Linked DNA regions of Drosophila melanogaster. The protein of the gene in region 2 interacts with the protein of the main gene of each other region in a pairwise test. Each region holds a gene or a part of one and is shown on either strand. Other genes may lie near its edges. The genes, in order: Cftr and M7BP.

What was found.
Region 1: the proteins of M7BP (region 2) and Cftr interact in a two-hybrid assay, tested with the Drosophila melanogaster proteins (one large-scale study listed by BioGRID).

The regions. Positions count from the first base shown.
Region 1 is NT_033777.3:24,538,327-24,555,265, reverse strand, and holds the start of Cftr (CF transmembrane conductance regulator), read left to right. Parts: upstream 1-11,351; 5' UTR 11,352-11,566; intron 11,567-11,840; exon of another isoform or gene 11,841-11,935; intron 11,936-13,674; 5' UTR 13,675-13,723; coding exon 13,724-13,908; intron 13,909-14,014; coding exon 14,015-14,146; intron 14,147-14,198; coding exon 14,199-14,383; intron 14,384-14,448; coding exon 14,449-16,274; intron 16,275-16,337; coding exon 16,338-16,939. Other genes in the region: Esyt2 (extended synaptotagmin-like protein 2), read right to left, coding at 133-564, 625-801, 862-910, 1,935-2,032, 2,610-2,780, 2,841-3,392, 3,454-3,937, 5,502-5,506.
Region 2 is NT_033778.4:7,622,425-7,638,965, reverse strand, and holds the start of M7BP (Myosin-7a binding protein), read right to left. Parts: upstream 10,166-16,541; 5' UTR 9,854-10,165; intron 8,790-9,853; 5' UTR 8,775-8,789; coding exon 8,638-8,774; intron 7,472-8,637; exon of another isoform or gene 5,866-7,471; coding exon of another isoform or gene 5,554-5,865; exon of another isoform or gene 4,751-5,553; coding exon 4,652-4,750; intron 4,614-4,651; exon of another isoform or gene 4,208-4,613; coding exon 3,966-4,207; exon of another isoform or gene 3,913-3,965; coding exon 3,766-3,912; exon of another isoform or gene 3,747-3,765; intron 3,451-3,746; coding exon 3,361-3,450; intron 2,072-3,360; exon of another isoform or gene 1,773-2,071; intron 1,496-1,772; exon of another isoform or gene 1,433-1,495; intron 914-1,432; exon of another isoform or gene 685-913; coding exon of another isoform or gene 594-684; intron 369-593; coding exon 61-368; intron 1-60. Other genes in the region: CG43341 (uncharacterized protein), read right to left, coding at 5,554-5,865.

The DNA.
Region 1 (16,939 bases), on a different chromosome or scaffold from region 2:
AGGATGTGGTCGTAGTTAGTTTCTGTATGGTTCTGAAAGGACCTATCTTTGTAACTTTTTATGAGATTCTCTATAGTCACATTCTACGTAATTCTGCAAGTTTATCGTTGAGTTGTGGAAAACTGAACTCACCTTAAATGCTGGAGGAGAAACTGCAGCAACATCTGGTGTTTTCACGGAACTGCTGCGCGTGAGCGCTGCCACTTGCTCCAAGGCATCCGAATCCTTGTCAATCTCGCCGGGCTTCAAAATGCGCAGCGATAGCGACATATAGAGCTTCGATTCCGGTCCAGACTTCTGGAGTTGGAATGGCTGCTGTATAACCTCCATATTGAATTGCTTCAGCAGCGTGCTGAGTGTATAGGTATATTGGCCAATGTCGTTTCCTGTCTTCTGGTCGTAGATCTTGATGTTCAGACTCTCGTTGTCGGGATTGCTGACCAGGAAGGTGAAGCCCTGCTCCCAAACGGGAGAATCATCTCGCATTATCATGGCAGTCTGCTGTTTTTGCTTGTTCACGCTGCACACCAGATAGGGATCGGGTTTGGAGCTGGATCGAGCTTGCTAGAAGTGGATATTTCATTTAATTGATTTATTTATTAATTCATTTCCAATCAAGCCCACCTTCAAATGCCTGGCTGAATCGATGAATACACTGAGTACCGCCGAACTCATGCTGGTCACGCGTAGGAGTTGCGTTTCCAGCAAAATCTGTTGCAGATCATTGGGATCGGCAGTGAGTTTGTACCATTGCAGGCGGACATGCAGAAGTCCATGCTTGGCATCTTCCAAGGTGAGCCACTATATATTATGAAACATATTATTTTCATACGTGTAAATGCGAGAGTTCTAATTACTTACACTATCCACAACGCCTTTCTTGATCACGCTGGCAATATCGATGCTGGCTCTATTTTGGGTAGTTAAAAAGTTAAATTAGTTCACGGCAAATATGATTTTAAATCAAAAGAAAAAAAAAAAGAAAATAACAAGAACAAGAAAATGACAACTTCTCAACGGGTTCCCTTGAAATTCAAGCTATTTGAGGGCATCTCGTTCTGAGTTCTTGTTGGGTTAAGTTATTGGGGCAAGTGTGTGTCCGTTTTTCTTGTATGTTCTTGTGGATGAGTTCGTTGGTGTTCAATCAATTAATCGATCAATCAATCAAATAGATGGTTGCCTAACCTGCCGAGCGACTCGTCATCACTAGTACGGTCCCAGTCAAAAAGTCTGAGCACGAGTATGGCATGCTGCGAGACCTCGACCACAGCCTGCTCCATTCATCGTTCGAATCAAAAGCAAGTTAAAAGACATTTTTCGCATTATTATTGGTTAGTTCCAGCGCAAAGTCTACACAAACTACGGTCCAAATGTGGGTGGATTATTTACAGGATCGAATCTAACTACTTGTACAAAATATTTGTCATTGGCATGCCGGTGATTCTGGTTTCATTCATTGTGTGTCTGTGGTACAAAGTGCTCCAGCTTTTGCTTGTGATTCAAAAACATGTGTCAAAAGGGCATGCAGATTAGTTTTGAATCGAGTCATGTTAGGTCGGCATGGCGAAAGTGTTGAGATTTTCTTATTAATCAAATTTACTTCAGCATAGTATAATAAACTCAAATGGTAACTACAGTTTAAATGATACTAAAATACCAATCAAACTAATTGATGATTGTTAACATAATTCAAACATTAGGTTATGTGAAACAATAAGTAAACACAATTCAAATGCTATTTGTTTAATCAAACTATTGGGGTCACGAAAACCACTTCAATTGGCCAATTTCTCATCACTTCGCTGTGTACGTTTTTTTTTTATTTTTTTTTGTGCTTGTTAGTAAACGTATTCAGAAGATAAATGAAAATCAAGAGATACAAAAAAAAAAACGAAGATAGAACAAACAAATGCAGTTTCATGCGGCAATACAACCTGCCCAATACATCATCGCTCTGTACACCTGGCATAGTCTGATCATAGTCCCACAAAGAAAACCCAATATAGTGACCAATGGTGGTAAAAATACACGCCTAGAAAAACGAAAGTGTGTGAGTGTGTTTCCTGCGGTGGCAGAGAAAGTAGGCAAATCCATAGAGCAAAGCGAAACGGAACGAAACGAAACTCAAGGATATATAGTCAGTCACTTCTCAGTCACTTCATGCAAAAACGAGCTCTCAACAAGGATTACTCACTGGGGATTTTCAAGAAGGATTTTTGGGGTGGAGTGTGTTGGTGGTGTTGTGTTAACTCAACAAAAAGTGAAATGATAATATTGCTTACCTGCCCAGGTTCTCGTCTTTCTTGGAATCGTCCGAGTCCTTCAATTGAATCTCGACAAATTGACCCATTTCAATAAAAACAGTAGCCTGCGTTCAGGCGCCAAACAAAGTAATCGAGTGATGATAAAGGAATGAAAAATCAAAATGGAAAATAACACAAGGGCAAAACAACGAACTATTATGCAATAAATCGGTGGTTTTTTTTTGTGTTGGATTGTTTCATGCAGCAATCAATCGACAACATCGGCAGACTACAAAAAGCAAGGCAAGAAGCGCAGGGGATCCCACGGCGGGGAATCCCCGCAGGAATCAGCCAAGGAATACGTACCTCACACCAATAGTCCCACTTGGGATTCACATTGTTATCAATGATCTGGGTCTTGAACTCCTGGGCGCCCACATTGATGATGGCATAGGGATCCGACTTGCCTTTGCCCAGCACACTGATGTCCTTCTTCATCAGATCCTTGGCCTCGACCACGTGAATGCGCAGGATGCCCTGAAAATTGCCATCCATATATAAAAAAAAGATTGATATTAATAGTCATTGTGGACCCACCTCTGGTTCGGGCATCTTGAGGGCCACCGCCGAAACCTCTTCGCTGAGTGAAATGGGCAGTTTGTTTGGCAACACCATCACATTGCCAATCTGCTCCACGATGATCCTACGCAGCAAGTCACTCAGACCCGGCATGTCCATAAAATCAATCACACCCACCAAATTGAAATCGATATTCGGATTGTTCAGGAAGAAGATCTGCAGACCGCCCACCAGTGGCATCGATCGGATCAGTGGCTTCATCACCACTCGCACCCAGCCATGGATCTGAAAATCCTTGATGCCACCCTTCATACCACCCAAATAGAAATTGATGTCGCAATCGCTGGCATAAAACAGATCCAGATCCATAATGATCTCGTTGCGATCCACGTTCTTATCGTAGATCTTCACACCGCCGATCCGCGGTGGAATGGTGCCCAGAATAATGCGATCGAACCGAAAGCCATGCATCTTGTAGTTGGCCAGAGCTAAAGCCACATTGGGTTCGATGGTTTCCTTTACCAAGGTGCGTGCAAAGTGATTGGCATTGGGCCACACTTGTTTCAAGATCTGGCAAAAGGATAACAGATAGGATTCATTCATATGGTAACTGAAACCAAATCCCACTCACCTTATTCAACCACTCGCAGCGCTCCACATCGGGAAAGTAGACCCACGCGGGCAGCTCGTCGATTCTGGCCAGGATTACGTCCTTCTCGGACGCCAAAGCCGAGGCCTTGGCAATGTCGCGCTTCTTCTCCGACGTCTTGGCCAACTGGTCGCGTGCCACCGAGAGGATGACCGGCGCTATCAACCAGGCCACCGACCAGCCCATGTAACCCACCAGATAAATGGATCCCACAATGGCCACCTTCTTGCCCAGCGTGTAGAACACGGAGAAAATGCTGTTATCATCGCTTACGGATTTTGTGGCCACAATTGAGTTTCCATTTGTCGTCTGCGTGGGCGGTGTACCATTGCCGGTGGGCGTGGTCGGCGTTACCACTGGGGATTCGTTCATTTTTTTAACCTCCACCAGTGGCACAAAAGGTTCGGTCTCCGTGGGATCGGGTGGGATGGTGAACTCCGCCAAGGGCACCGATGGACTGTTATCGCTGCAAGAATTCAAATGTACACATTCCATGAGCATCTTGTCCAGATATTTCCGATACTAAAGCTCTCTGGGCAGCTGACTCATTAGCGTTTGCCGGCTAAGATGCCGGCATCGAACTCAATGCTCATGATTGCGATGATGTCATACTATATTGTGCTATTAGCTAGAAATGTGATCTTGAAATGCCTCACCGACTATCCACGATTCATAATTATAGTATACAAAACGTTTATGAACACTTCGTTTGTTTACTTAGCTTAATTTTTCACTTCTTCAATACACTCTCGCATTGCTCATACGCCATGTGGGTGGGGTAAATTGACACAGTTTTACGACTTTTCTGATGGTGCTCAACCACCCACCGCGTTACCTGTTGAGTGGGATACACAAAATAGCTTTCATTTCGGACGAGGGAAGACCAACTTTGTTGGCAAGTTTGCTTATCACAAAGGAAAAGGTATAAAGGTATTGAGTTACCCATTTAAACTTTGAAAAAGAAAACTTATTTCCTTTCGTTTTTTTTATGGTAAGCTCTATATTTGTCCCATTTTTTAAGCGAAATTAATTTGAAAGCATTTAATAGTTTCTTTGTAAATAAGTAAATAACTCTTGATATTATATTCTCTCTCTCCTGAACTTTCCACAGTTTTCCGACTGTTTGTTTCACGTTTTCCACCCAAACTTTTCTTTTATTTTCGCGTCTGCCTTAATTATTCAACGCTTAGCAGCAGCTGTTGACTTTATTCAAATTTCCCAGAATATATCTCATTGTTTACCTTTCATTCTTTTTCATGCGTTAGCTTTGGGGACTCATTATAATATAGCCGTAATTTTCTTTTTGCAGGTCATACAATTTTCATGTGCAACCTTGACTTGAGTAATCGTACAAAACCAAACTTTTCAAGAGATTTACAACCTCAGCATTTCAGCATTTCAGCATTTCACGCTTTTCAACGCTTTGTTAGCTGCTAACAACAAAGGCGCCCAGAAAATGTTCACTAAGCCCGATTCTTGGAGTGACCAAATGGGGAGGTAGGATTTTCCTGCTCCGAAAAGGGGAGAGAGGGACACCCTCTCCGGTTACGAGCTTTGCTAATTCAACTTTAACTGCTGGGGAATTGTTACATCTCGTTCTGAGCTGATGGGCACCTGTTGAATAGCCAGCCACCAGGCAGCCTTCTGCCCCCCAAAATGGGGCATCCCAATGAGGTAAATATATGTAGAGCGAAGAGTGAAACCCGAAAACCGAATACGAGAGAGGGACTTAATTCTAGACTGGCTGCCAAAGCTTGTCTGCCTTCGAAAATGATGATGGGGAGACTACTTCCCATTGCCAAGAACTTGAACCGAACACGGTTTTATTGTTTTTTTTATTTTTATTTTTTTGTTTTGCTCAAACTCAGTTTTTGTTATTTTTTTGGTTGCTCTTCAGGTTTCTTGGCGATGACGTAGTCGTGGCTTGTGAATGTTTGGAATACTTGAGTGAGTAGCGAGTGAGTATGTCGCTTGTGTCGTGTAAATGTGCTTAAATAAATGATAAATAAATAAATTAATTGTGGCATCACCTCATCGTTTGGGTTCTGCTCTCACTTGGTGTTGTGTTTGTTTTTTATGATTTTTCGGTTTGGAAAAACTTTGTGTGCATCTGAAATAAAGATTTCGTTATCAATTAAATGTGCAGCCATCAAGATGGTTTTATGCATAAATTAAAATAGATTCAAGTCGAGTTTGTGGGTTTTTAAACCCTGTACGCTTGCATTTAATCATATTTCATATCAAAAGTTTCCGATTTTGGCTTTTCTATAAATAGAAATCTTTCTCTTTCTGCATTTCTGTACTGGTTTTCATAACGTAAACACTTCGAATAGAACATTTTTAGCCTTTGCAATTAATTGAAAAATTATGCATTTCTTTGTACATATTTAGATAGCTGGTCGGAGCTAAAATTCCTTTCATTAAATATTTACACACACAAAAACCACACCGAACGGAAAGCCAACTAAATACGTATTTATACATATATATATTGAGGGGCGAATATATAGCTGAGGACGCCGCGAATGTTTTTTTTTTTTGTATATTTTTATCAAGTTCTATATTTTGCAGTAAACAAATGAGTTTTAAAAAAAAAAAAAAACGAATTTCGATTACACATTGTAGAAAAACGGGAAATAAACTGATTATACGCACCGAGAGAACGGAACGAATTCGTAATAGACCTGATTACTTCACTTCAGTATATTTAATTTTCGAAATGCTGTAATAAACGGAGCGAATTCAGCGTCTTTTCATTGTGAGCGGCGTTTCGGAACTAAATTGAATTGAATTCAATTCTCGTAGCCCCAGCCACTAGAAGAATCTCTCGACTTTGAGTCAAAGCTCGCCTATTTGAGTGGAAGCTACATTGCCGCAGCAGCCAACAGAAGCACCAGCAGCACTGCGGGATCCTTGGCGCCATGGTTTCCCATTCGCTGTGTCCTGGACGGAGGCACTGTACAGCAAGGTTGCGCACACAAAAGGACCTCTTTGTGCGACTATTAATCTGAATATTAATGAAGAGCTTAGTGCTTCTGTACAGCCGCAATCAGAGAAAACTTAAGCTGCATGCATGCGTAATTCGATTGGCAAGAAGTGCAAGGATTCATTATGATTTATGTTAGAAAATGTTTAAATTTTAGGTATACAAATTATAGAAAGTAATATGATTTGCATGCCAATGTTCATATTTACTAAAATAGGTATTACCTACGTAATTTTATGTAATCATTTGTGTTTGATGATCGGTTTTCCACTCATTGGTTGACCAGTGTAATCGAATTGATTGTCCTTCGTCCTGGGTCAAGTGGTAATTGTTGTTGTTAGTCGCCTGCTAATTTTTTTTGCTGCCCGACTCACTTGTAAATGAGATAAAATCTACGCTGTGTTGTTGGGTAATTAGCAAAACAGTTTGAGAGCCACTGCCGGATGACGCACACGGGCGTAATAAACCCGGTTAAGTGAGCAGCCATGAATAAGGATTAAGCGGCATTTTTTTTGGTTTTTTTTTTGGTTTGTTTGCTTGCCGCCTTGTTGCTCGATTCCGCTCTGTTTTTCATAAATATCAAATGGCTGCGTAACACATGGCGTATGTGTAATAATCATGCCATATGCATTTTTAATGCATCGATGTGAAATCGAAAGTTAAACAATGGGCGTGAGCGAATTGAGTTGGTGCTGCCGCACGAAAAAAGCGCAAAATCAAAAGCAAACAAAGTGTGTCCGGTAGGTAGAGCGTACTTGAACATGGCCTTCAACACTCAACACCCACACTTGTCCATAGCCACCCATGCACGCACACCGTTGCACACATTGTCTGGCTGCAGGACATGCAGGAGAGCAGAAGAACTCCGCCGAAGGACAATGGCAGCTGGCAGGCAAATGGAGTCAGCGGATGTCGGATGTGAATCCCTGCGTCCGCACACACTAAGAAAATATATAAGCGAAATTCCGCAAATTTCCTGCGATTAAAATAGCCCAGGGTCGCATTATATGATTTAAAGGATCTAAAAATATCCTATTGATGTTTTGTGCACAACATTATTTTATATGTGATAATCACATAATATTCAAGCAAATGTTTTAACTTTATTATTATTTGATTGGTTTTTATTTAGTTGTCCGATTTATCCTCTGTGTATTTGGTAATCAAGCGGATGTTAGTTGCTCCTTTCCGGTGAAACAAACATACGTATTCTCATATTCCCGATTAATGACACAATGAAGCCTGAGGGAAATTTCGAGAATATACACACACACTCTCATCCTGTATCCTTTTAAATGAAGTAACATAACACACACACACCAACATGTGGCTGCCATTTAATTGCCCCTAAATATTTTATTCGACCTTCTCTGATTTGCCTCTAACTCATGTGAGTTCCTTCGAGGTTTTTCAACTTTGAACCTACTTTTCGGGAATGGGGGCGTGACGGCGGGGGGGGGGGGTGGCTGGCCGTAAAACTTTCGCACCGCCAACGTGCCATAAAACTTAATTCAAAACTAAACTGAGACAATTCCCGGGCGATAATCGAGGTCGCACGATGTCGACGCCTTGACTTTATTGAACGAACAATGTAAACAATTGGGAATATTCTACTTTTTGTACTGTTTTGAATTTGCAAGAAAATTGCGTCACATCGACTTTGATTTATGGAGCGACGCCAGTCGAGCAAAACGATGGAAACCTGGGAGACCTGGTCCACTGAAGGTAACGTTGATGGTGTGCAGCAGGTCAAGCAGACACTGAGACACAGTGAAAATATTATATAAACATTTGTGTTTTTTTTTACAGAAATTTATTGTATGATCAAGATTATTTGGGTATATCACATTAAACAGTATTTAATTATATGATATGCTCATGAATTATTTTTTCATAAATTAACTCTGATTTTTATAAGTGCAACGGAAGCAGCATTGATTGCAGTACAAATCTCTTAGATACATTTAAGGGAAACATTAAAGGAGGTCAGAATCGAATTACAGCCAATGCTGATTCAAGGCTCCACAGCTGGCAATTCAATCAGAAAACAAGCAATTTAAACTTGCTTCAACATTGTTGAATTTTATGCAGTGCTTTTTCCATGAATTTCGAGTAAACATTCTAATCACTCGTGTGGAACTCGGGCGAACACGTTTTAGCCATTTCATCATGGCTCAGGTAAATGTTTTTGGGGAGGATCCTTCTTAAAGCGTTCCTTTCTCGCCAGGCATGTCAAACTTTTTCCTTTTGACTACGTGTGGTTAGCCAAAAAGAGAGATTTAGCCAAGTTGTTATATGCAGATGATGTTAACGTAAAGCGGCCTCAGGGAAACATATAAAATAACTGACATGGGAGCCGGGCAAACAGGCGGACTGCAAATGAAAGTTTCGCCAACCCATTAAATTATTCTCCATTCGAGGCGTGTTTCAGACTTTGTGTTTTTGCTCCGTAATCCGAATCCATTATTGGGCTTTAATATCGGTCGCCGGACTGACCGCAAATGGGTATCTAACTAAGTACGATGTGAATGAATGCCTTTTGCCCTATGAATTATACACAAGTTTGTTTCTATTTTTTGTGAACTGGCTGTTGGCCCGAAATGCCGACAGTCCTCGATTCCCATACCAAAGTGAAGAAACACGCACGGAAATCGTTGATTGCGGCAATAAAAAGAAAAAAACAATGGCAACCAAAAAGGCGGCCGATTATTAATGGGGCTTGGTCGGTTCAAAGGATACAATGTCAAGGATTGTTTGAGAAAAACCCAGCAGTGGGAAACTAGTTTCGAATATACAACTTCCGTTTAAGGATTTGGAATTCATGGCTCATAAAACGAAGAGTTTCACACGTTTTATAGTGCGATTGTATTGTTCAATTGTAATACTTAAATCTTTAAAACCACCTGCCTGAATTTCACTGTAAAAACTTTCAAACTATCCTTGCATTTTAAGCCACTTCCTGCTGGTATGTGGATCACACATTTAGTCTGAGCACGGAGTGTTAATCTATCTGTCTAATTAAAATATTTGTTTAATTATACGGGCACGAGAATTCCGAGGGAATTTCAGCCAGTTCCATTCCCCAGTGCATATAAAGCGTTCCACTTTGGGGGGAACAACTTAACCCAAGCGCAAATCCTAAACTTTTTCCCTCGCCTGACTCGTCGTCACCAGCTGCAAGGATATCTGAGTGTCAGTGTGTTTGTGACTAACCACAACCACAGGACCGGAGACGCCTTAATGTGTCCACATTTTAATTACCCTTGATGTCGAGTGCGAAAGCCTGCCACCGAAAAGTGAAAGGATAAACAACAGCAACAACAGTGGAGCAGCAAAAAAAAAAAACAAAATAATAACAGTTGAAGGCTTCATGGAAACGCGCTGGCTTTCATAAATATTTCAAATGCCTACCAAAGTCAACCCTTCTTCTCTGACAGCTCTTTCTGTCACTTGACACACTGCGTTTTGTACTTGTTTTTTTTTTTTTTTTGTGGAAGTTTCCTTTGGCCAACGCTGCGTATGTGTAATTTACATGCTCCAAGTTGAATGAAACCAATGGGAGCGTCTCTAGAGTAGCGATAAGAGCGCCAAACCTTTTCGCAGGTGAACTTGGGGCAGTCGCCACTTAGGACTTTTGCATTTTTAATGTTACACACAAAAAAAAACCATAAACTAGCAAAACTTACATTTTGCTAATGGCTGTGAATGATTTTAAGCTTGCCCTTATTTGATAGCTTACCTTAGGACGGTTTACTTATGTTTAACTTTCTTCACTTGAACGGCAAAAAAATTAAAGAGTTCATAGTTGTCAAAGGACATTTACAGTGGTCTCATTTTCCACTAAGCCTTTGCCCAGTTTTAGAGTCACTGGTCCTTTTTGCAAACAATGTCAATGGGTTACCAAAAATAAAATTCAATTGTGCGGCCCCTTTGTAGTAATGTTTCCTTTCTTTTATTACGCTTTTTTCAGCTGCCCGGCACACAAGTTTCTGTATTGATTCGGAAAAGTCGCGCGCAAATTTCCTCCGCAGGCTTTTGGAAAACCATCCGCTGGACTTTTCACATTAACCGTGCTGAGCGTTCCGTTGTACGCGAGTCGCACAACTGAAAGTGCGCTAACTGAAAGCGAAATTCTATTGCCTTCGCAATATCACTCATACGCAGTGTTTGACCTACATCCTGTAACAAGGTTTTCAAGAGCGCAATTGAGTGAAAGAGCGAGCTTTGTTGTTTACGTTCTCAGCTATTTTTGGCGCCAAAATAGAACAACTGTTGCGGTGCGTGTTTACACAAATTGAGAGGGGGTTTTGGGGGGGTATGTGGCTAAGGACATAAAATGTTGTGCAGCTGTATTAATAAGTCCTTATAACTGACATTATATATGTATATAATTTATAATTATATACATAATTTCATTAAATATTTAGGTTACCATTACATAATGTTTCATGTTTAAATTATATACAAAAAAATCAAATCAAATGTATTCAGAATCAAATGATTTGCTCAACAATTTATATTTAACATAATTATACATTTCATATTGAAAGCTTTATTGTTTTTTACATTTCAGAAGCTTTTGTTCTCTCCCAAAAAAGAGAGGAAAGCAAGACCGCGTAAAATTTCGTAAAAATGGAAGTGACAAAATATGAGAAATTATGTCCAATTGGACAAAAAATGGATTGAGCACATGTTCTATCATATGAGAATGAGATTGCAATTCCAATTGTAACTCAAATTGACTAATATCTGAAATGTTTAAAAAATTAGACAAAAATATATGTACTAAATGGTAGTATTGTAAACTACTTAAAAATCACGGGGAACTTGTTGCGTTCGCTATCGAAAGCTTACCATCTCTATTGACTGTAGCCATAAGCTTGTTTGTTTTGTATTTCATTCGGTCCCGAACTTTTGAAGGAGGAGGTCGTTTATGGAGCACACGGTTGCGCATTCGTTGGTCCGTTTGTGCGAGTGTGCGTGAGTCGGCGTTTTGTGCTTGTGTTCGTACTATTTCTGCACGTGCTGCTCCGTTGCGACCAATTCGGGTGATACAATAATAATAATAGAGCACAGTAGTGTGAACCAATTTATGCTCTGATAGCACAAGTAAGTGTAATTCGAGTGATTAAATCTAACGGTGAATTGTTAAATTTGGAAGTCAGTACATTCGCGTAATAAGTGTCGTATGTATGTACATGTGTACATCCGATTTGCATGATTGTGTGCGCTTTTGGCTCTTTGTTTTCGATGGTCGCCTGGGTGCTCAATGTGCTGTTATGTCTGCGTCTGCTGTAATTCTCCTCCGCGTTTACGTCATAAACCGTTATTAAAATTAGTTCCTACCATTACGGAATACTTTCCAATGTGTAAGGCGGCACTGAAAGCGATTGGAATGCCGGTTTTCTAGCAAACAACCACTTGTTTGCCCGTGAGGTCGCTTACCGATTGGCCCAGTGCTCTTACATATATACACATGTAAATATATACAGTAGGACTTCAATAACATGGATTATCATATTTTATTAACAAAGAAATATATTCCAATTGATTAGATAAATTTCAAAGCCCTTAAAAATTCGATACGTTTTTCCGCCTGAAATCATAATTACTAACCGACCGAGTCCCACCATTTAATGTTTCACTGTAACAGACTTGCCGATACCGGTAAAAATAAATTAATCACTGGTTTACAATCTGTTCGTTATGCGCCTGTCTGTGTTTATTGAGCGCGTTCATAAATTAGATTTCGTTGGAAATATTTATGAAACCTAAAGCGCTGAATTGGTTGTCACAGTTGTTGCTTACAAAACTCGTTCTAAACAATTGAAACAGCATTAAAATTCCGCATGTCGCTGAAATAATTGCAATACTTAATTCTAAGTCATAGCAAAGATAGCGGGGCTAATAAAAATCACCGCCTTTTCTAGCTGATATGAAAATCGGCTATAGTGGGTAAACTTTGAAAAACCGAAAACATTGGGTTTAAGTAGTCTTAATTGTTTTAATCGAAATGGGAAGATGTACAGCACGTTTTTCTATCTATTTACGTAAATTCATTGGCGTCGTATGGGCTTGCGCCCATACAATTTAAATCTATTACTTTGAAAAGGGGAGCGGCATTGAAATGGCGTTGGAACTGAACTTTGTGAGTGCTTTAATGCTATTTCACAATGAGCAACTGAGCAGCATGAAAATTTCCCGGTCAACAACTCCACTACAACTACAAACATGTGAAGTTTAATCGAAAAGTTATAATTTGAAAAGTGAAATTTCCGCTTGTAGCAAGTAGGTCAAAATAATTTCGCCTGGCTTATAGCCTCAACGCCAAAAACATCCGTGGTTATAAAAAGAAATATGTACATATGTACGTGTCCAAACACCGGTATAGCTTATCTGGGAAGGTCTCTGGACTTTTGCTTGCCAATTAATAAACATTATGATTATTGTCATACAAAGATGAGCAAGTATCGAGTTGGGGGGCTCCAAATGCGTTTTGATTTACGTTCCCCGTGTCGCCTGCTATCAGTTACAGACAAAGCAAATAGCAATCATAGACATTAAGCTAACGACCGATATCGTGTGACTGACCCTCGTAAGTCTATGCTGAGCAAAGTTCAATCCACGCATCCTGGGATTCTTCATACAATCGCAGTTAGTTCATAAAATTTATCTAAATAGGGGTTGTCTACTAAAACTAACTAACAATTTTAAAACTAACTTCGTTTCTAGTCACACGTAGACCTTATCAGTCACGAAAAGACTATAGTTTATGGTCGTCTATTGAAAATATCAGGAACGTATGTGTTTTTCCTCCAGTTACATATTTTCATATAGTAGTTAGTAAGATATAGTTATATAGACAGTAGTACTTTTGCTTTAGACTACTCTTTATTGGTCAAGGTCTTTGCTGATAAGAAAGTAGCTCTTCCTAGACTAGTCTTCTAGCAATCAACTAGTTTTATACTACATACAAACATGATAAAGAATGCGGGCGATACAGTATACATTGGTTATTTGAAAGTCATAGATATTATATATTTTTTTTTTAAATTTTTAATCAATTTCTAAATTAAATTGTAATCTGCACTTCCTGCACTTAATTAAAACATGTCATATTACCAATGTTATTGGCGAGTATAGTTCAATCACGCCTTTTATCTTTAAGCCTTTGATTATTTAACATGAGCTTAGTTGTGGCTTGTTTGCGATTGCAGGCAGAAGGAGTTTCTGATCTAGACGAGAGCTATCCATCCATATGATAGCATGGATAGCAGTGCAAAGCCAACGCGGAAAAATCCGCGACAGCATGCAAATATTATTTCACAACTAATATTTGCCTGGGCGATACCATTACTATATCGAGGTTCCCGCAGAGGCCTTAATACGGATGACCTGACACAATGTCTGAAGGAAGATCGATCCGAGCAGTTGGGCGACCGTTTGGAGGAGTAAGTACTGAGATCTAACATCCTCTTTAACTGACAACAAACACTAAGGAAGTTTGACTTGCTACAAAGTCGTATTAAACATTTGTCAATTGTGATCAATTTTTAGTCAATGGTTTAAGGAACTAGAGCGATCTCACCGCAAGAAACAGAAGCCGCATCTCAGAAACGCACTTTTCCGCTGTTTCCTAGGACCCACGATCATCAATGGCCTCATTTGCTTTATCTACATAGTGATCAAGTGAGTTGGGGGTTTAATTTAACTCATTATATCATAATTAATCTGTTTCTAGGACCTTAATTCCAGCTGTTCTTGCACAGCTGTTGATTCAGTTTCAAAAAACTCCTGTTGCGCAATTAAGAAATATCGATGTCAATGATATTTCAATATCAGATTCCCTGAATCGAACAGCACGGGCAATTCCAAACTATGTGCTGAGTCAGGCTGTCGCCAACTCTAGTGGATCTCCAGGGGATGGTGAGCTTTAAACAAAGGATTATCATTCTTGATTAAATTATACATATGAATCATGCATATTTCAGCACTTTTCCCCAAATCGCTGGACAAAGCGGGTCCACTGGAGCCGATTCAGCCTCCAGTAGAGGAAGTGGATCACAATGCAACCGCTGTGCGAAGCATCTTGGATCAGACCGTCGAGCACATGTGGAACGATATGAACAGTCTGGGCGCCGTCCTGGTTCTTTCGACGCTGTTCTGCTGCTTCCTGTTGCACCACGTCGATCTCCGACAGCGCCTAATGGGTGCACGGATGCGAATAGCCTGCTGCTCGCTGATCTACCGGAAAACTCTACGGCTCTCGATGAAAACGGCTGGTCAGACGCCAGCTGGTTACCTAATCAACCTTCTTTCGAATGATGTGAATCGTTTGGACTATGGCTTCATATTCATGCACTGGATCTGGATTATGCCATTGCAGGCGATGCTCACGTGCTACCTGATTTGGCTGAACATTGGCATCCCAGCAATTGTGGGTGTAGTTGGACTGCTGCTAAAAACGGTGCCCGTGCAGACGGCCTTGAGCAAGGTAACCTCTGTGCTGCGGATGAGAATTGCGGAGCGAACGGACGCGAGAGTGGGCATTATGAACGAGCTGGTGCAGGGCATTCAGGTTATAAAGATGTACGCCTGGGAAAAACCGTTCCAGGCGGTGGTGGCCGAAGCTCGGCGTAGCGAGATCAAGCAGATCCGATATGCATCTTACCTGCGTGGCTTCTACCTCAGCACCATGGTGTTCACGGAGCGATCCACTTTGTACATCACCCTGGCAGCGGCTGCTTTGATGGGCCAAACCATAACCGCAGACTTTGTGTTCTCAGCAGCCAGTTACTACAATATCCTGCAACTGGTGGCTGCCATTTGGTATCCACTAGCTGTAAGCTTTGGAGCGGAAGCATTGGTTTCTCTGCGTCGGATTCAGGACTTCCTTATGCTCGAGGGACGTGAGGAGCGCACTCAAGGACTTACCCATAAGCGAGATCAGGAAGGTGGAGACTCCAGAGCAGTGACCATTAAGGACATTAATGCCAGCTGGGATATTGAGAAGCCACAGAAAACGCTCCAAAGCATTAATCTGCAGATCGAGAAGGGCCAACTGTGCGCAGTTATTGGACCGGTAGGTGCCGGAAAGAGTTCTATCCTCCAGTTACTGCTGGGTGAACTGCCCGTTATCGATGGAGGCGTTTTTATCCAGGGTGACCTCTCCTATGCAGCCCAGGAACCATGGTTATTTACGGGATCGGTGCGAAATAACATCCTTTTCGGTGAAGAGTTTGATAGGAAGCGTTACCAGGAGGTAACACGGTGTTGTGCCCTTAGCACGGATTTCCAACAGCTGCCAAACGGAGACAAAACTCTTGTGGGTGAGCGTGGGGCATCCCTTTCCGGAGGCCAAAGAGCACGCATCAGCTTGGCCCGAGCTGTCTATAAGCCCGCACAGATTTACTTGATGGATGATCCGCTAAGTGCTGTTGATGCGCACGTGGGCAGGCATCTCTTCGATGAGGTGATTGGACCCAGAGGACGACTGGCTCAGCTGAAGGCGACTCGCATTCTAGTGACCCACCAGGTGCACTTCCTGTCCGAGGCCGACGTTATTGTTATTGTCGACCAAGGAAGAATTTTAAGGCAAGGCACCTACCAGGAGCTGATCAACAGTGATCTGGACTTCGCTAGGCTCCTTGAGCGACCCAAGGAGGAGGAGGAAGGGGAAAACAGTCGCAATCAAACATCCCCGCTGAGTGTCAATTCACTGGAGAGTGACGACGAGGACATACCTTTCATCGATGGTGTAAAAGATGGGTACCAGCAGTTGAGAAAACAGAGCAGCTCGGTACATGGCAGCAAGTCGGTGGGTTAACAAAGTCCCAACATCTAATGTGCACTTCATTATGTAAAGAATTTTCCGTTTCAGTTGGACAGTACCCAACTGGATGATAATGTCGATGAGGATGATCTGGCCGAGGCCCAAGCATCTGGTGGCATTTCACCACGCGTTTGGTACGAGTACTTCCATGCGGGCAGTACTCTTCTGAGCTTCAGCTTCATGGTCTTTGTTATGGTGATGTCCCAGGTGGTGTGCAGTAGTTCCGATTTCTTTGCGAACATCTGGACACAGCAGGAGCATCAGAGGTCGCAGGGAGAGGCCACTTTCTCAACCTTCGAGTGCATGTACATATACGGTGCTCTGATCATCGCCGTGGTGATCATGACCACATTCCGTGGCTTCCTGTTCTTTAAGATTTGCATGCATGCCTCCAAGGTGCTGCACGATCGCATGTTTGCCTGCATCCTGCACGCCACCATGAGATTCTTTGACACCACTCCGTCTGGAAGGATTCTGAATCGCTTCTCCAAGGATATGGGCGCCATTGATGAGTTGCTGCCGCGGGCCATGATGGATTTTATACAGATCGCTCTGGTGATGTTTGGAATTCTGATTGTTATTGGTATACTGAATCCGGTTTTGGTGGCCGCCATGTTGGTGGTAGCCGTTGTGGATGTGCTCATCCTGAA
Region 2 (16,541 bases):
ATGGGGCATGGAACACTAGGGTAGTATCACAACTGGTGAGTTGATAGATAGATAGCTTACCTTATTTAGCACCGCTGTGGCCAACAGATCCTGGTAGATCTTCGGCTCGAAGTAGTGCTCGGTGCGATGGCGCCGCTTCAGCCCGTTTCCATTGGCCAGATCGGAGACGTGAGACCTGGTGTCCAGGCTGATCTCCGAGACGGCTCCGCTGGCGCTGAGGGTGGAGCTCCGCAGGGTCTCCGCTATGATGGTCTCGATGAGACTGCGCAGTCGGGTCTGCGAGAGGTCGGCCAGCTCGGAGTCCGCATGGTTGTTGTTATTATTATTATTACTATTGTTGGTATGGCCATTTACGATGGCCGGCAGATCTGAAAGCAAGTATCGAGCATTGTGAGCAGAATTTACAAGACCCAGAATGCCAGCCAAAAACCACACAATACGACAAGATATGCTTGGTTAGCAGAAGAGATCGATACAAAAATACAATAAAAGTGAAAACTCGGTTACTTCTAGACTAGTGATTATGGGCGTGTGAAAGGCGATGAAGAAAGTAAGTGATTGAGTGAGTGTGAGTGGTTGTGTTTTAGCCATACCTAATTTCACCTCAATGACGTAAACCACGTAAAAGACAATTACGGCCAAAACGGCATACATGCCAGTGACTAGGCCCAAAGTAAAGTCCATGCTGCATGCATATATGTATATGTAGATACACTCGCAAATATCGTCTACGTCTGATACGGATACGGCTGAATCGTGAATATCTCGCCTATTTGTTTATTTACGTTTACGTTTGTGTTTCGGTTTTGTTTGGAGCATTCATTGATATAACGGTCGGCTGGGCTGCTAATTATATTGAGCACATATTTGAGTTTGGTTTTTTTTTTTTGTTAGCTTTGTTCCCCTAATTGAGCTGAAAACATAAATTTGATATGTCACCGCCTCCTCTAAACGCTTGAACAGCCGGAGCTCCAGTGGGGCTGAAAATCGCGACTATGGTTCGCATATTTATCATTCTCCTTTGACTTTTTTAAGTCTATTAACGTATTGCGGTAAATACCACATCGCATAATGAATAACCCCGAGTTATCTATTTTGCGTTACAATGCCGCCCATATTTCTTTATCTAGTGATGTCTAGCTGCTCGAACAGCCAGCTAGTCCACCGTTAGTCATTCAGGTGTGCAAAAGGTGTCACAGACGCACACTTTCGTATCCAGAACGAGTCACCAATAGAAATAGACCCACAAACTGGCCCCTAGGACGGACGGACGGACGGACAGAACCAACCGGATCGGATCAGATCACTTCTCTATCTCCGGGTCTATTGTCCGACTCCAAAGTTCAGGGTTCAGGCAAAATCACTCGGGCAATTATCACTCGCCGTTTTCCACTTTATTTTCATTTTTAATTTCACCGCCATGCCTGCGTGCCTGCCAGTGGGTTCATGTGCTCGATAAAGGCCCTTCCGACTGCTCCGACTTCGATCGTTTAACTGGCCAGCTATAAGTTAGGTGCACAAGGGGCCAACTCGGCCCAGAGCTTTACTTTACTTAACTTTAGTTAAGGTCAATGATAAAATGCAGAGCGATTTGGGTTACGGAAGCGTGTTGAAAGTCAGCGATCATCTTTTCACGATCATAATTCGCTGTTAATCTCGGGATTACACATTGGGAGCTCCAGCTGCAAGCGGGTATATCGTGGATGAAGGGGGATCATTAATATTTATTAGCGTTGATTAGGGTCTCTTCCTCATCTGCCGCTTTGTTTTACCTCACGATTATTGATTTCAATTTTGCTCATTATATGTATGTATGTTTTTTGCCAACTTAGTGTGGGGTCAAGGTTGCTGATAGCTCGTCACTTAATGCGTTGCTCTTGGTCTATTTGACTTAAGGTCTTATCTGGCAGATGGAAAAGTTCCTCTATCTGCTGACCGAAATTCTTGTTCTATGCACGACTACGCGAGGTATGTTGTTGGCTTATTCCATGTTATCACACACGTTTCGGACGGACTTTTTGGGCCGGAGCGGAATTGGCGTTACGATCGCGACGCGTCGCATCTGGCAACTGAAGTTACGTTCCGTGCGATTGCCGAGCGGTAAGCGGCGAGCGTCTAAACGCTCACTCACTCACACACTCAAGTTCATATTTTGTATGGGTACAGTGGGCCTGGTTGCGAGATTTCGTCGAGGGGCGCAGTTTGGCTTTGCAATTTACCAATTTACAGGCGTTTTGCCGCCCAAATCGCCCAAATCGCCGAACTAAGCTGGGAGCGTGACCAAATCAATCGACTGTTCAGACACAGCATCTTGAGTGGTCTTGTAAGTAAGACATTTACGCCAATTTTCCAATCACCAAACCTGTTGGTGAGCAACAGCCGCCAACGGTGCGTATGATTAATGCCTATCGCTGTCTGTCATCTGAGCTGAGGCTGGGACAATGGGCAGCGCAGCACTCGAAAAAGTACCTGGCAGGCGCTGTATCATAATGCTCTCGCTGTCATCGGCACTTCAATAGCTAAAAAAACCTTATCAAAGCTTTAAGGCCTTATCACCGACAAACTGACTCTTTGCCGCTTCTTATCAACCACCATTGACCGCGATTTCAGTGAGTTGAAAAGAGAGGCAGAGACTGCAAGGAGCGAGAGCGCTGCAGGTTGTTGATTTTGCCATTTTAATTGGACTCCTTGGTTATGACCCACTGATAGGAGATAGCTTTACTACAGCCGCAATCATTGATTCATAGATTTGTTTTAGGGTCTTTGGTGGAGTGCCTCAACATACAAACAGCAGTTTTTATCAAGGGCAAGAAATACACATTACTTGGTTACGATTAATATATATACTCTTTTTTAAACAAAAACTACATGATGAGTTAAATACTTAGTACTTCGTTACTGAAAAAGGTGTATATTTAATAGATTTTATATTTAAGATATGTCTTAGCTCAAAATTGTATAAATGGTCGAGGTCAAAGTTGGTAAAAGCAATTTTTAATCATTACTAATACTTTTTTTATTTTATCAAATAAATCAATGATATATTTAAAGAATTGTGTCCTAAAAAGCATTATTTAAAAAATATTTTGAATGCTCCCAACTTAACCTTATGTAAAAAACTTGATAATAATTAGTTTTTCAAATATTATATTGTTGGAAATAGAATATCGACCATTGATATAATAAAAGATATATATGTTCCTATATTAATAAGTAAACAGGAAGCTTAAATTCAAACACAGTTTTGAAAATACTGCCTACAACAAATAGTAATCGATGTTAGAAGGGTTAGCGTACAAAACAGACGATTACAGCGTGCGTGCTCGATCGATTAGTGATTATCGATTACCGATTACTTACCTCCCCTGAGCGCACGCGCGCACAAACTGTTTTCCACATTGATAAGCAGGTTACTCAGCTTCGCATGGAATTTATCAAAGAGTTGCAAGTCTGATTGCATGTGTGTAGTGTGTGTGATGTGTGATGTGTGTGTGTGTGTCAAATAGGGGTGCAAATATCGGTTAATGAGCAAACAAAACAAACAGCAGACAGAAAGTCTTTTCAGCAAGCTCTCACCTGAAAGCTTGCCTAAAAGTATGCTTTGAGTTATCGGTTGTCAGCCCGCAACAAATGTTGCTAAGCCCTTGGCAACATAAATGTGTAGCAAGATTTCAAAAAATGTTGCCGTGCCAATTGAATTTGATTTGCACAAATTGCATAAATTGCATTCGCTCTAATCGAATCTCAGGCAATCTGGGTACTTACAGTTCTCACTCTTGGACAGCTGCCCCACTTTGACGTGGTCCAAATTGCCGCCCAGCATTTCGGCCACAATCTCCTCGACGTACTCGCGGATCTTGGCCCGTTCGTCCATGTGGGCGTTTTGTCCAATCTGGCTAACGCTCTCGAATTCTGCAAGTATAGACTAGATATTCCAAGTACTCCTTTCCCTGAACCGCACTTACGCATGCTGCTGTCGTTGCCATCGCCCACAATCGGTATATACACCTCGCTCCTAGCCCTCATCGGATAGACAAACTTATGCTGGTTGAAGGACATTTGCTCGGCCACCCACGAGGAGGTGTGGGCCAGCGACTCCTTGGAGCTCTGGCACAGCTGGCACTCCCACTTGGCGTCCTTGGGCCGCCAGTCGGCGCATTTAGGCCCGCGGCAAACCGATTTTTCGCAGGTGCAACATGTCACGTAGCTGCAAAAGGTTTTCCCAGATCATTAATTGTATAATATATTCGCCAGTACCTTTCCAGGTCACTTAAAGAGATATTTATTTATGAGCTTAGAGCCATTTATGGAAATTTATTATTTAGAATGGAAGGTTTTAGTTCTCGTGGAATCTCTCGTAAAAAAAGTTATTTAAATTTAACTATACTTGTTTGCATAAATAAATTTGGTTTCTTTTTAGTTCGGTGAACAGAGCAGTAAATACCTCAACCGATGCAGGAGAAAGCAACCAATTCTTTTGCAAATTATACTTTGCAAATGTGTTTGTTCGAATTATTTATTATATGGCTATCAAGAAGCCAGACTGTTGTTCAAACAAACGAATAGATTTCGGCAGAAATGCTGATATCAGTAAGATCAACAATGTCAAACAGGTATTTCGCAATATTTCGGAGACACGAATTCTACTCACTTTTTGGCACTGCTCAGATCCAGGTCCGCACAGCAGACGTTGCAGGCGTGATCCTCGCTGCTGGACTCCTCCTTCCTCCACTTCTTATTGGCTAGTTTGCTGGAAGAGACAAGGCGGAAGGAAGCGCGCGTTATTTCGAGAATGTTGGATGGTGATGGAAACAAGACGATTAGTCAGGTCGTTTCTGGCGATTAGCTGGGGTTATTCAACGGCCAGAAGGTCATTGGCTGAAACTCAGCTCAATTAGTCGGTAGCCATTGATCGTGCTACTTCTGGCTTTTGGACCGACGACCACCACTTCCCCCGGCAACTAAATAGTGGGCAGTCCCCACCCAAACGCAATTGCATGGGGCAATTGACTTTCTCCCGGCTGTTAAATCCCGCCAATTGCATAACAACGCAAACCCGTTGGACCAGGCAAACAAAAAGGCAATGAGGCTTCGAACCGAGTTTAATCAACTTAGGCGAAATGGCCTGGCTTAAAGTATACATACATGTAGCTCTATCACAAACAACTTACAATCTAAGAGGCAGTGCGTCTGTCTGCCTCGATATGCATTCGGATTATGTCAGTCACTTACAGTTCTTACACAAGAGAGAAGAAGGGAATTCCTGGGTGTCTTGTACGTGCTCGAAATGAGAAATCGCCAAGCGGATTGCTGCTCAACTTATTCAAATGGCAAAATTCGCAATTTCGCTTACAAACAAACAAATATAATTTAAGGAAAAAGCCAACCGTATACGGTCATCGAAAACATTACGCTTGCGAAAGATTCAAATAACTTGCACAGGCTGTCGAAAGCGATTGAAAACACAAGGTGTGTAGGAGAGATGCTCAGTCAGTATAGCCGCTTAAAACCGATCTAATTAAAAATATACACTTATATTCTAGCCTAAGTCTTCTATGTGGGCAGATGCTGCTGCTGCTGTTGGTGCTGTTGCTGCTGTCGCTGTCGATGGAATCGCATCCTCCTGCGCGCCCAGTACTCATAGTTGTTCTCCAGATTCTCATAGTAGATCTGCTCCTCCCCATCCGGGCCCCCGTTCTCCTCCCAATCCTCGGCGGGCGGTCCGAGCACCGGATCAGTGCTGGTCAACTTGAGCAGCACCACTTCCATGGTGCAGGCCATGAAGAGGAAGCCCAGCACCGCGAAGCTGATGGGCAGGCACATCAGCCGCTCCACCTGGCACAACACCACCGCGGAGAAGAGCATTCTCCCTGGAACTCGATCGACAGCTGGATCTGTAGTGGATTCTCTGCCGTGTGGTGTGGTGTGGGGGGCTGTTCTCCAGGTGTCGGGATCGGGTTTTCAGGTATTCAAAATGTTTGTCGACTGATTAGCGCCGGTGGGCTTGCTGGGATTTGGCATGGCACTCGCGTTGAACCGATTTCGCCAATGGAAGCACTTAATGCCAATTCGCTATCAAATCGCGATCCGCGTCCCACGACACTGACAACTTTCTCGCACAAGGTTCGCCTTTGTTATGCGCAGTTGGCTTTGAGAGTCGGCGGTCAACAGCTGAGATCGGGTCTCTATGGCTCCACATAGCCAGAGCTATGGAGCTGTGGCCTCTCCACAGAACCACACTGGCACAGCCACAGCCGTATCCCATGCCGGTTTCGATCGTGGAGAGCGGGAAACCACTGCCTCTCTCTCTCTCTCTCTAGCGCTAAACAAACTCGTCAATGACGTAAGTTGGAGTCCCCCTGCCCACGATCCCGTCGGACGGGTCGACATGTGTATGTGGCGGATTGGAAGCAATGACTGCGCACATTTCCATGCAGATTTATCGCCTTTCTTCTCCGATCACTGTGGTCCGATCAGATCCAATCCGATCTGATCCAAGAGCTGGAAACCTGGTCGAACAGGAACCGTTTTGGAGGAGATATACATACGTGGTCGAAGATCATCGAGCATCATCGCCTGTCTGCTGCATTCATTTGTCGACTAATTTATTTTTGGCCTGAACTTCATTAATTTCCAAATGCTAATTGTGAGAAACATTCCGCAAACGAGTTGGCTTGGTTCTTGTCTGGCAAAATACTATGTATATAATGTATGCATGCTGTGAGCGGTTTATTAACTAATCAATCGACTTCTAGCTGGATTCGAGTTTTAATCACTATTTTGGCAACAAATGGCGCCACGGTGTTGCCGCTACACTTTCATCGGCATAAAGCCCGGGGAACTTTTCGAGCTGCGATCTCATGCCTTAAGATTTCGAGATTCCCTAGAAATCTGTGCTGGGAATCTGGGTTAATATATGTATGATGTATGTATGTGAGTCTCATGTGTCCGCCATTAGCATATTCCCGCACAAGAAAGCGTCAAGCCATCAGGTTGTGTCAGGTTATTAATATCCCAACAGGGCCAGAAGCTTTCACAAATGCTCCTCTGATAGCATAATCTACAGAATTTCCCAGAACTTCGAGCCGGAGATTAATAAATTCTTGGTAGAAGCGAGCAAGTGGCATCGTAAATTGTTTTATTGATATGAGTGTAATAATCTTTTGATTATCTCCGAGTTTACTATCCGGCTTTCGTGAGATCATCATTGACCGTATCTAAATGGATTCATGAATTATCTTGAATATCTTAATTCACCTGGCCAAATCTTAAATTTATTTAAATTCAAATAAAACTCATATGCCTAAAAGCATGCTTTATTACGTAGAAAACGATTTTCAACAGCCTTAACCATAAGCAAACTCGAAAACAATACTGCTCAATAGTAAGTAAATAATATCGCATTAGTTTAAACATTTTCCACAACTTGTTATTGTTCTCACAATTGGTTTTGAAAGCACTAAAAATATTTCGTTTTGCGGCTTTTCACTTGCCACAAGGCCAAGATAACTGGTTTCTTCTCACTTTAATGGCGAATAAAACCCAGAATTTCTGTGCATATCTAAACTCTGCCATCGGCCAGAGTTAATTGCATTTGGCTGACTTTCCACAGTTCCACAACTCGTTTGGCTTCATAGAATGTCGTTCATAAAATGTCGTCTTTAAGACCCGGAAATTAATAAGTGAATTATAAGCGAACTGAAAGCTCGTATGTAGAAAATGGTACTCATATAAACTTTATTATTCTGTTTATGTTTTTAATCTTTTCCTTGCTTAAATATATAAAGAAATTGTGCCTCAAAGATATGCATTACTCAGAGCCTTATAGTTTCGATACGCATATTACCCTAATACACTGAAAAATGATGTGTAACTGCCGTCGCTATAATAATACAAATAATGCTGTCAACAAAGCGGCTAATTAAGATGCCATTGAAAAGGTGACGAAAGGCCAACAATTGAGGGGCGTTGTTAGCCATGGCCAATTGTTATTGCCAATTTGTGACGCTTTTTAAGGAAAAAGCAGCTGGCGGCGGGTGGGCGGTGGAAAGTTGTGCCCTTTGTTGGCCAACGACTTCCGCTGGCCATTCTTCGAGGTTCTATCGTTCTTGTGGACGGATTCGCGAAGAGTCAATGACAGCTCGTCTGGGTCTGGACTGGCAATGTTATGAAACGTCTAACGGACCGGCAGGCCATCGCCGAGACACAACAGGTGCTGCATAAATTGGAGGCAGGTGGCGGAGATTGCGCAATCCTTAATTAAGGCGACGCTACGCACTCGATGCCCAAAGTGAGCAGTTGCATCGCCATCCCGGTCGACGGGGCAAGTAACAAATGGCAAATGGTAGCTGGTGGAAAACGGCGACTGGAGAAATGGCAACAATTATGTCAAATCTCTTCAGCTCGGCCATTTCCCACACGCAAACGCAATCAACTCATGCGAAACGATGGCCACGTAACCGGGTTGAAGTTGCAGTCAAGAAAGTTTAGTTTCAGTTTCTATTCGGATTTATCTCGCGCTGCATTTGTATCTGCAGCATACAAAGTGCACGTGCGGATGCGGAGCTTAGCTCACGTAGTCGAACTTGTATCCATCGGATGCTATATTTTGATTTATCTCCCATTTGATTAACTCACCCCAAGAGCTGCTGGGCGCCACACTGCAGCAGATAGGCGCCTCCAATGAGACCCACCACGGAGGTGAGTCCCAGCAGCAGGTTCCCGCTTCCAGGTCGGTTGATTGGCAGCTCCATGAGGCAGATGTAGGGGCGCATCCAGCGCTTCAGGCACTGCGGAGTTCGCATTGAATTCAATTACGCTATCGATTTCGCGGCATTTGCATCAGAAGCACACGCACACACACACTTATCGGAAGCAGCTCTGATTTAATTCCACCTCGATTGAAAACCCTAACTATACTGAATCAATGAAATATCCGGAACAATACTACACCAAACTATTTTTTACTACTTATCAGAGCCGAACATTCTTCATTTGCGGCTATCATCTCTTTGTGGACATTTTACGTGGTTTTCGGCCAATACATACTTTGGCCTTAGCCTTATCAAAAGTTTTGTTTGTTCGATTTAAATTGCCTAGATTTCGACATGAAGTTGTATGGGTAAATATACCCTGAGCAGGGCATTTAAGTTTCGGTTATTAAGTTGAATAGAAAATTGGTAAACCAGTAATACAATTAGTTCCCAGCGAAAATATCACGTAAATAAATATTTTTAGGTACAACTCAGTGCAATTGGTCACATTTGAAGTCGTGACCATTAGTGATAAATAATTTTCAGCATAATGCAAAGAAGGATAAATGAAATTGTTGTCATAAATCACTTAAAGAACATTATTCATTTAAGTATGCAAATCTCGTAGTTTAGATGCAATCACTTGAGAGAAGTTTAGAAAAAACTTTGTCTGCAGTTCGAATCACGTACTAGCAGTTATTTATACGTTAATTTAATTGCCTAAGTGTTTTCCTTTGTGTTTATTTTTGCACATTGCGATTAGCACTAATTAAACTTGATAAATGTCTGTATGTGTTTTTTTGCAAAGCTCCTATCGACATTTTTGCTTTTTTTCATCGAGATCTTCTATAGAAGTTGGCAGTTGCATAATCTCCTTTGGTTTTGCATTTTTTTATTTACAAAAATTATAGCATCAGTTGTGTGTGTGTGTGGTTCTAAGAATGATGTATTTTAATTATCGTGCTATTCACTTCAGTTGGCATTAAAGATGTGGGTTTTATTTATAAATTTGTTTGGTTTTTTTGTAATATTTTGGGAGTGGAATCTTCCCACTGAACCGAAATGAACTTCACTGGCGAAATATCTGAATAAATAATTACCACAAATTTCGCTTGTCTTGTTATTTCTGTTTGCAGTTACGAACGACGATTATCAATCACTTTTCGGGCAATATGTTTCTCAGGTGCTTGCCACACGAACTCAGTCCGCTAATTGCCATCGCCCGCCCGCCGATCACCTTGCTCCATCTTCAAAAAGCCCAAACCGTCGACAGCGTTAACAATCCCGACTGCATGACGCACAAATTGAAACAAAACATACAACAAACTGATTAGGATCACGTGGATAAGGGCCCCCCGTGCCAACGATCTTCAAGTTAAGTTAACTTGGCGATTGGAGCAGCTGACTCCGACTGCGAGTGGAGCGGCGACAGGTTTGTTTTAGCCAAGTTGAATTCGGTTTTGTTTACTTTTTTGCACAATATATAACTGGGGTATATGGGCATTATATTGGATTTTGTTTGCCCACTTCGTTATGGCGGATCGCGTATATAGCCGACCGACCGACCGACCGACCGACCGTTGATTTGATAAGAGTTCCGCTCGCGTCCAGAGATATATAAATATATATATCTCGGTATGCGACGAAAAAGTCGCAGATAAGTGTCAAGACTATTTCGGGTGTGAGGTCACAAACGGGTGTACACTCTTTCCAATTGTGTTGAATCTACGGCCAAATGTTTCCAGGGTTTTAAATTTTTTTTTAAATTTTTTGTGGTTTTTTTTTAGGATTTGTGTGCGTTGCGGGCGAGTAACCAAATTGGAACTGGCCCTTATTGGCGCACTGGGTCAGAGCTTTGTTGGCCATGCAACTGAGGGGGTGGGGGTGGGTGGGTGTTGGCGGGTAAATCCCCATTGAGCCGCAGAAATATGGACACTTATGACCCACCCACCCCGTCCACTATTCTCTGGCATTCCACGTTGTCCAACGGACCTTATGCAAATGCAATTGCATATGCCACTTGGCAGCTGCCAGTCACATGTCCGCCGCTTGGAGGATGGTGGCAAGAGTTTGTGGCCAAAAGAAAAACCTACGAAATCGATTGGCCCTGCCATTGGGCATGCAAAGCTTACGGCAATTAATTGCCATTAATCAACTTAATTATGAAACATTCGATAAGATTGCCACTCCGCTCCTCGGGCATCGAAGCTCGTGTGGAAAACGAAATTATCATGGAATGGGCCATACATTTGGGTGCTCCACAATCTAACCAGTCGATTCCGGAATGCTCTATTCGTATTTATAATTCTATAAAACTCTATCCTGAAATATTATAAAAAAAAAACAATGAAGAGACTCCAACTTGTTTCTCTATCAATAACATAGTTATATAAGTTTATGTAGCATAATTATCCAACTATAAAGTGTATCTTTCCTCACACTGAAAACAGACAACAATATAGTTCAAAGAGGTTTTCCAATTACAATCGCCGAACTGGGTTGGTCCTCATTATCATTCTAATGGAACTTCCCCGCCACAGTTTCCCAACCAAATTGCAAACTCATTCGAAAGCTCGGTGGTCAGAGGCAGCGGGTTTCTCCATGACAATTGTCTAAAAAAGAGTTCCCAGAAGACTCCGACTGCTCACGGAAAGATTTCTGGCTGTACGAATGACATGGCTGAGTGACTGACTAACTGACTAACTGCACCCGAGATTTTGTCATTTCCATTTTGAGGCCGGCAAATTTGCATAAATTGATATCCGCCTGCAGTCTGCGAAATGCAGATGCATACACCCAGAGCAGTTTGCCGTAAGATTGTGGGCTCCATGCGCACCCAAGTCGGCTCAGGCCAATCCCCCAGCTGCCTGTGGCTTCCGTTCTGGCCACATGGCACAGTCCAACTTCCACAGCTTCAAGTTGTTGTCAATCAAATTGAAAACATCGAATTGAATGATGGAAATAAATATATATGTATATGCCCTCTGATATTAAATTGGATCGAATGAATGCTTCAGAAGATTGAAAATCTGGCACTCACCTTAATCTATCGCGCAGCTGCTGGTGGGTGAGTTGATCCCGCTGCAACACCTGGAGGATCCGTTGGCACTGGTGCAGTCGCTGGCGCCTCCTCAAGGTCGGCGACTCCGCCTCGAGCACCGCAATTCCGCTGTCCACGCTGGAGTTCAGCTGCTGTTGCTGGATGGGATCGGGATGGGGACTGCTCCCCTGGCTGTTGCTGGTGTTGCATCCTACTGGCGATGTTTCTGCTGGCACTTCACCTGCCATGTTGCTGCTGCTGTCGCCGCTGGGCGGTGTGTGGTGTGTGTGTATGTCGGTTGCTTGTGAATCGGGAGCGGCCCTAGGCCATTTCCATTTCCGCACTCAGTGTCTCATGCAGGCACTGTTTTCCATTCACGCACATGAAAGAAACACTTTTGGCAAACAAATTCGCCTCACTGCTGCTTTTGGTTTGTTTGTTTTTTTTGTTTAGCGCGTTTTTGTGTGTTAATTACGCGCCAGTTACGAGCATTGTTTTGTTACTGGAAGCGAGCACTGCCGCACTGCCTCCACTTGGGCCACCGAAAATAAAAGTCGCTTACGGAGCAGCTTATCAGCCGGCGCGATACACAAATTCAAGACTTCCCCTACGGGGTGCTGGTACTGCTGCTGGTATGGTGTGCGTGTGTGTATGTGTGTGCCTGGGAGCGTTTGCTTTCGTTCTGCAATCAAAGGAATTTTGGTTTATTTTTACGGCAGAGACCCATAAACAAATGCGACGGCAGATAACGAACCCCCGCCCAGCTGCAGATAACCTGGAATCTGGCGATGCCTCATCGCTACGCATCTCAAAAAGCTCCCCCCAAATATCCGCGTTGGTCTGTCACCTTCCACTTCATGATATTCATGAGATACATTTGTATCTCAGTGTGTTGCTGCACCCAAAGTGAAATGTGCACTTATAGCCGCAGTTCGCACGCCCAAATATGCTAATTTCTGGCACGTAATTACGCAGAGTGCTGCGATTCGCATCGATTCGGGGCGGGTTAACCCATTTGGCTGGCATTGGGTTAAGTGGCTCAGCGGCTCATCTTGGAAAAAGCCGAAGGCCCCAGGCTCCCAAAAACTATTTGGCAAATCTAAAGGCAAGCGAAACTGGCCGAAACCGAAATGCGCACACAGCACAAATTGGAAAAAGAGAAATTCTCGGCCAGCAGGCAGCATTTCTGCTCTTGGCCAACTAAATGGCAGACTTGAAACGCTGACAGTACGTCTGCCGAAGTATCTATGGATGGACAGATACGTGGATAGATGGATAGATGGATGGCCGGAGCAGCAACGCACTTGTTGTTCGGTTTCCAGACTGTTCGTTGTTCATTTTCAGTGCTCAGCGATTGTTGATGGTTTCGGACAAGGGAAACAAAAAGTGGTGGCCTGCGGGCCGCCAAAGTCATTTCTTTGGAGTTTCGAGTGAAACCCGGCTGGATGTGTGGAAATTCTCCGAATGGGATTTGCTGCGGATTCGAAAGATAGGCTAGGCTGTGCAACAGCATGATATGCAGTTCCCCAAACAATGCGGCAATTAAAAGTGCATTTGCATGCATACCAAAACTAAATCCGGCGTTTTGCATATCATTTTCGTTGAGGTTGGTCAACTGAAATTGATTTCCATTTCAAGTGTGTTACCCAATATGCATCAGATTTACCTGCACATATACATAGACATATGTATGTATGTATCTGGTGTGCCTGTTTTTGTATCTGCAAGTTGGATTTGTGCAATTTTCACACAATTGTTTGCGGCATTCGCATGGCATGTCGAATTAAGTTGTTACACTAACTAATCTGATGATTAATTAGACAACAATTTCAGATGCAATTGGGTCGCCGGCAAATGGGTCAACTCCATCCGGAGAACTGGCTAGAAGGCTGTGCTCAAGCTTCGCTGGCCTGATGATGGCTCAATTAATTATGACAGCTCATTTGTACAGAGGGAAAAAAATGTGTTAACTTTCCCATTGACATAAAAGTGCTGCATATATAAATTCAAGGCAAGTAAGTATAAGTATAAGTATAGTATAAGTGTACTGTTAAGCCTCAAAGATTTTCATGAGTAAGACCTTTGTGGCATCAATTGATTTCTATGAGACGACAGTAAATTAAGCCATCTTCACTGGTATTTGGGACGAAAGTGGACCAAGTCGGACACTATTTTCCCTCAGTGCACATTTGCAAATATTTGAAGGGAAACTATTTATCAAGCTGCGGGTGAGGAGCGGGTGACCCGCAGTCAGAGTAGCGCTTACTAACGGTTTCACACTCTCTTCCCGGTCAACTTTAATAGCCATGCCCCACACATGGACCCATATATATGTACATATATACATACATATATTGGAGCCACAGGGCGCAACCGCAACTGCCGATTCATTGGGAAATTAGTCAAAGCAATTCCACGCCAATGATGCGTTTTGTGGAGTTTCTTTTTGTGGTGAACTGAGCTGCTGCCACCACACACACCACCCCCCCCCCCCTCCAACGGGGGGTGCCTCTTGCCCCTGGGGGCTGCAACAACAATCTGCTTAAATGAACGGAAGTTGGCAGTGAGACGCCGCCAGTCGCTGGTTAATACTGTTAACCGATGCTGTCCGATTGGTTTTGGTTATCTCAGTTTTCTCATTTTTCCCTCTGTTACTTGCTCACTTTTGTTCGTTTTCAATTTACGGGTGAAATGTCTGTTATTTAATTTTTTTTTTTTTTTTTTTTGTTTGTAAAAGTTGTTTTCACAGCCGTGGCTAACTAGAAAATAACGAACAAACATATTGAAGCACACACGCAGAAAATCAATGGCAACGGAAGTGCAACCTGTGGCCATTCCTCACAATCGGGGGTTGCACAGGGTTCGAGCCAAGTGCACGCTAACTACAGTGGTCAATCGAGAGAGCGAACTGCATATTTAAGTGAACGTTCGAGTCTGTCCATAGCCACATGCATACTAGAAAGTGGAGGGTACACTTCACATATATTAATTATAGATATTCCATAGGTTCACTTCACCATTTGTTCATTATAAGCTCATTTACTTCTTTACTTAAGTTCATTTAGTGAGTAATTATCTGCGTCATTTATTTTGTTTTCTTAGTACAATCGTCCACTCAGTAAGTTGTTGATAAAGAATAACAGTTTTAGCAATTGCTCACGAATTCTGCACTGATTAACATTTTTATCTAAGCTTCAATTTTGCTTAATCATTACATTGCACATTATTTTTTAAGTTACACATATCCTTAGACCTCCAGTTGAGGTCTAAGCTGAAATGATTCAGCTCGCTATTTTAAAACAGCTAGTTGTTTAATGTAGTGTGCACCTAATTGGTTCCCCTTTTGGAACTCGCACTGTAGCAGCAGCCTTGCTTTAGTTTTCGGCTGACATTGACACCTGTTCACCTGTGCACCCGGTCACCTGGTCACCCCTTTGGTCCCCCCATTGCCGTTGGTTCTTTCCGTTTTTCGTTATTGTCGCCTTTGTGTTTCTGTCAGTTGCTTTGCGCATGAGTCGCACGTTTAGTCGCCGTAGTTGTTGCTGCTGTCACTTTGGGCATATCGCACGCTCCAGTGACCCATTATGTACACACGAATATCTGCATATACATATATATAGTTTGTTTAGTGTGGCAGGAGTGCAGGGCCCCTCTACCAACTTAATCGCACTGAATGTTTCGTTTTTTAGACAAGGCTCAAAGGGCTGCCCTTCGAGGTCCCGCTTCAACGGTTCGAGGTTCGTAATTTGTGATTGTAGGTTCGAGGTTCGTGATTCGGGGTTCGCTGATCGGAGATCGGGGAGCGGGGGTTCGGAGTTTGAGTTTATCGCCGACTTTCGTAAGATCGTACACCACATAGCCTATGGCCAGTTCACGTACTCCTCGATTTCGAGCGTCACTCCGTTTGTGCAGAAGGTTGAAACGCGAATGAGCGGAGAGCCGCACGCTTTGAGCCGCGAGTCTGAGTCTGGCTTGCCGAAGTTGCGCTGCTTCAGCTTTACCGTTTGTTGTCGGTTCTCTCGTACTCGTACTCGCACTGGCAATATCTCTCTCGCCGCTCTCTGTATTCTTGCTGCTCAACAGCTGTCACGAAAATTTAGCGGCAAACTTTTGTTCTGCACTCCTCGCCAGTTGTCGTCGTCTTCCACATTTCGCATTCGGTTTTTGGGGTAGAACTTGTTTTCGGGAGGGGTTGGTAAACGGGTTACGATTTCAAGTTCGACTAGGGCCTACGGTTTAGTCTAGGGCATGGAAAGTGCACAGTTAACCCTTTCTGGAGTTACACGGTTCCAATCTTTAGACTAACTAGATGTGATTTCTTTTGGAATAGCACTCATAACCTAGTACCTAATTTTATAAGTGTTAAATAAATATTTTATTTAAAAATTAAATCTGAAATCTTAATAATAATTCTACTTTATACTAATATACTCATTATAAAGCTCAGTAATATATTTCCCTGCTTATATGAGATAATCATTTGCATTGCTTGGAATTGTTCTCCCAAGTACTTAACTTTTTCCTGTCTGCTTTCTTCCCATTTGTTTTGTCTTCTGATTTCCAGCTCTTTGATTCTTTCTTCCTGTCAGCCTTTTTGCTTGCTCAAACTTTTCCACTTAGCGCGACGTGTGCTAAAACGTTCATTTGTATGCATAGGGAAGCGATTGAAGGTGGGAGATAGCGCGAAAGAGAGGGAGTGACAGCCGGAGAAAGAGGCAGAAGACAGAGGAGGCCGAGACTGAGGACTG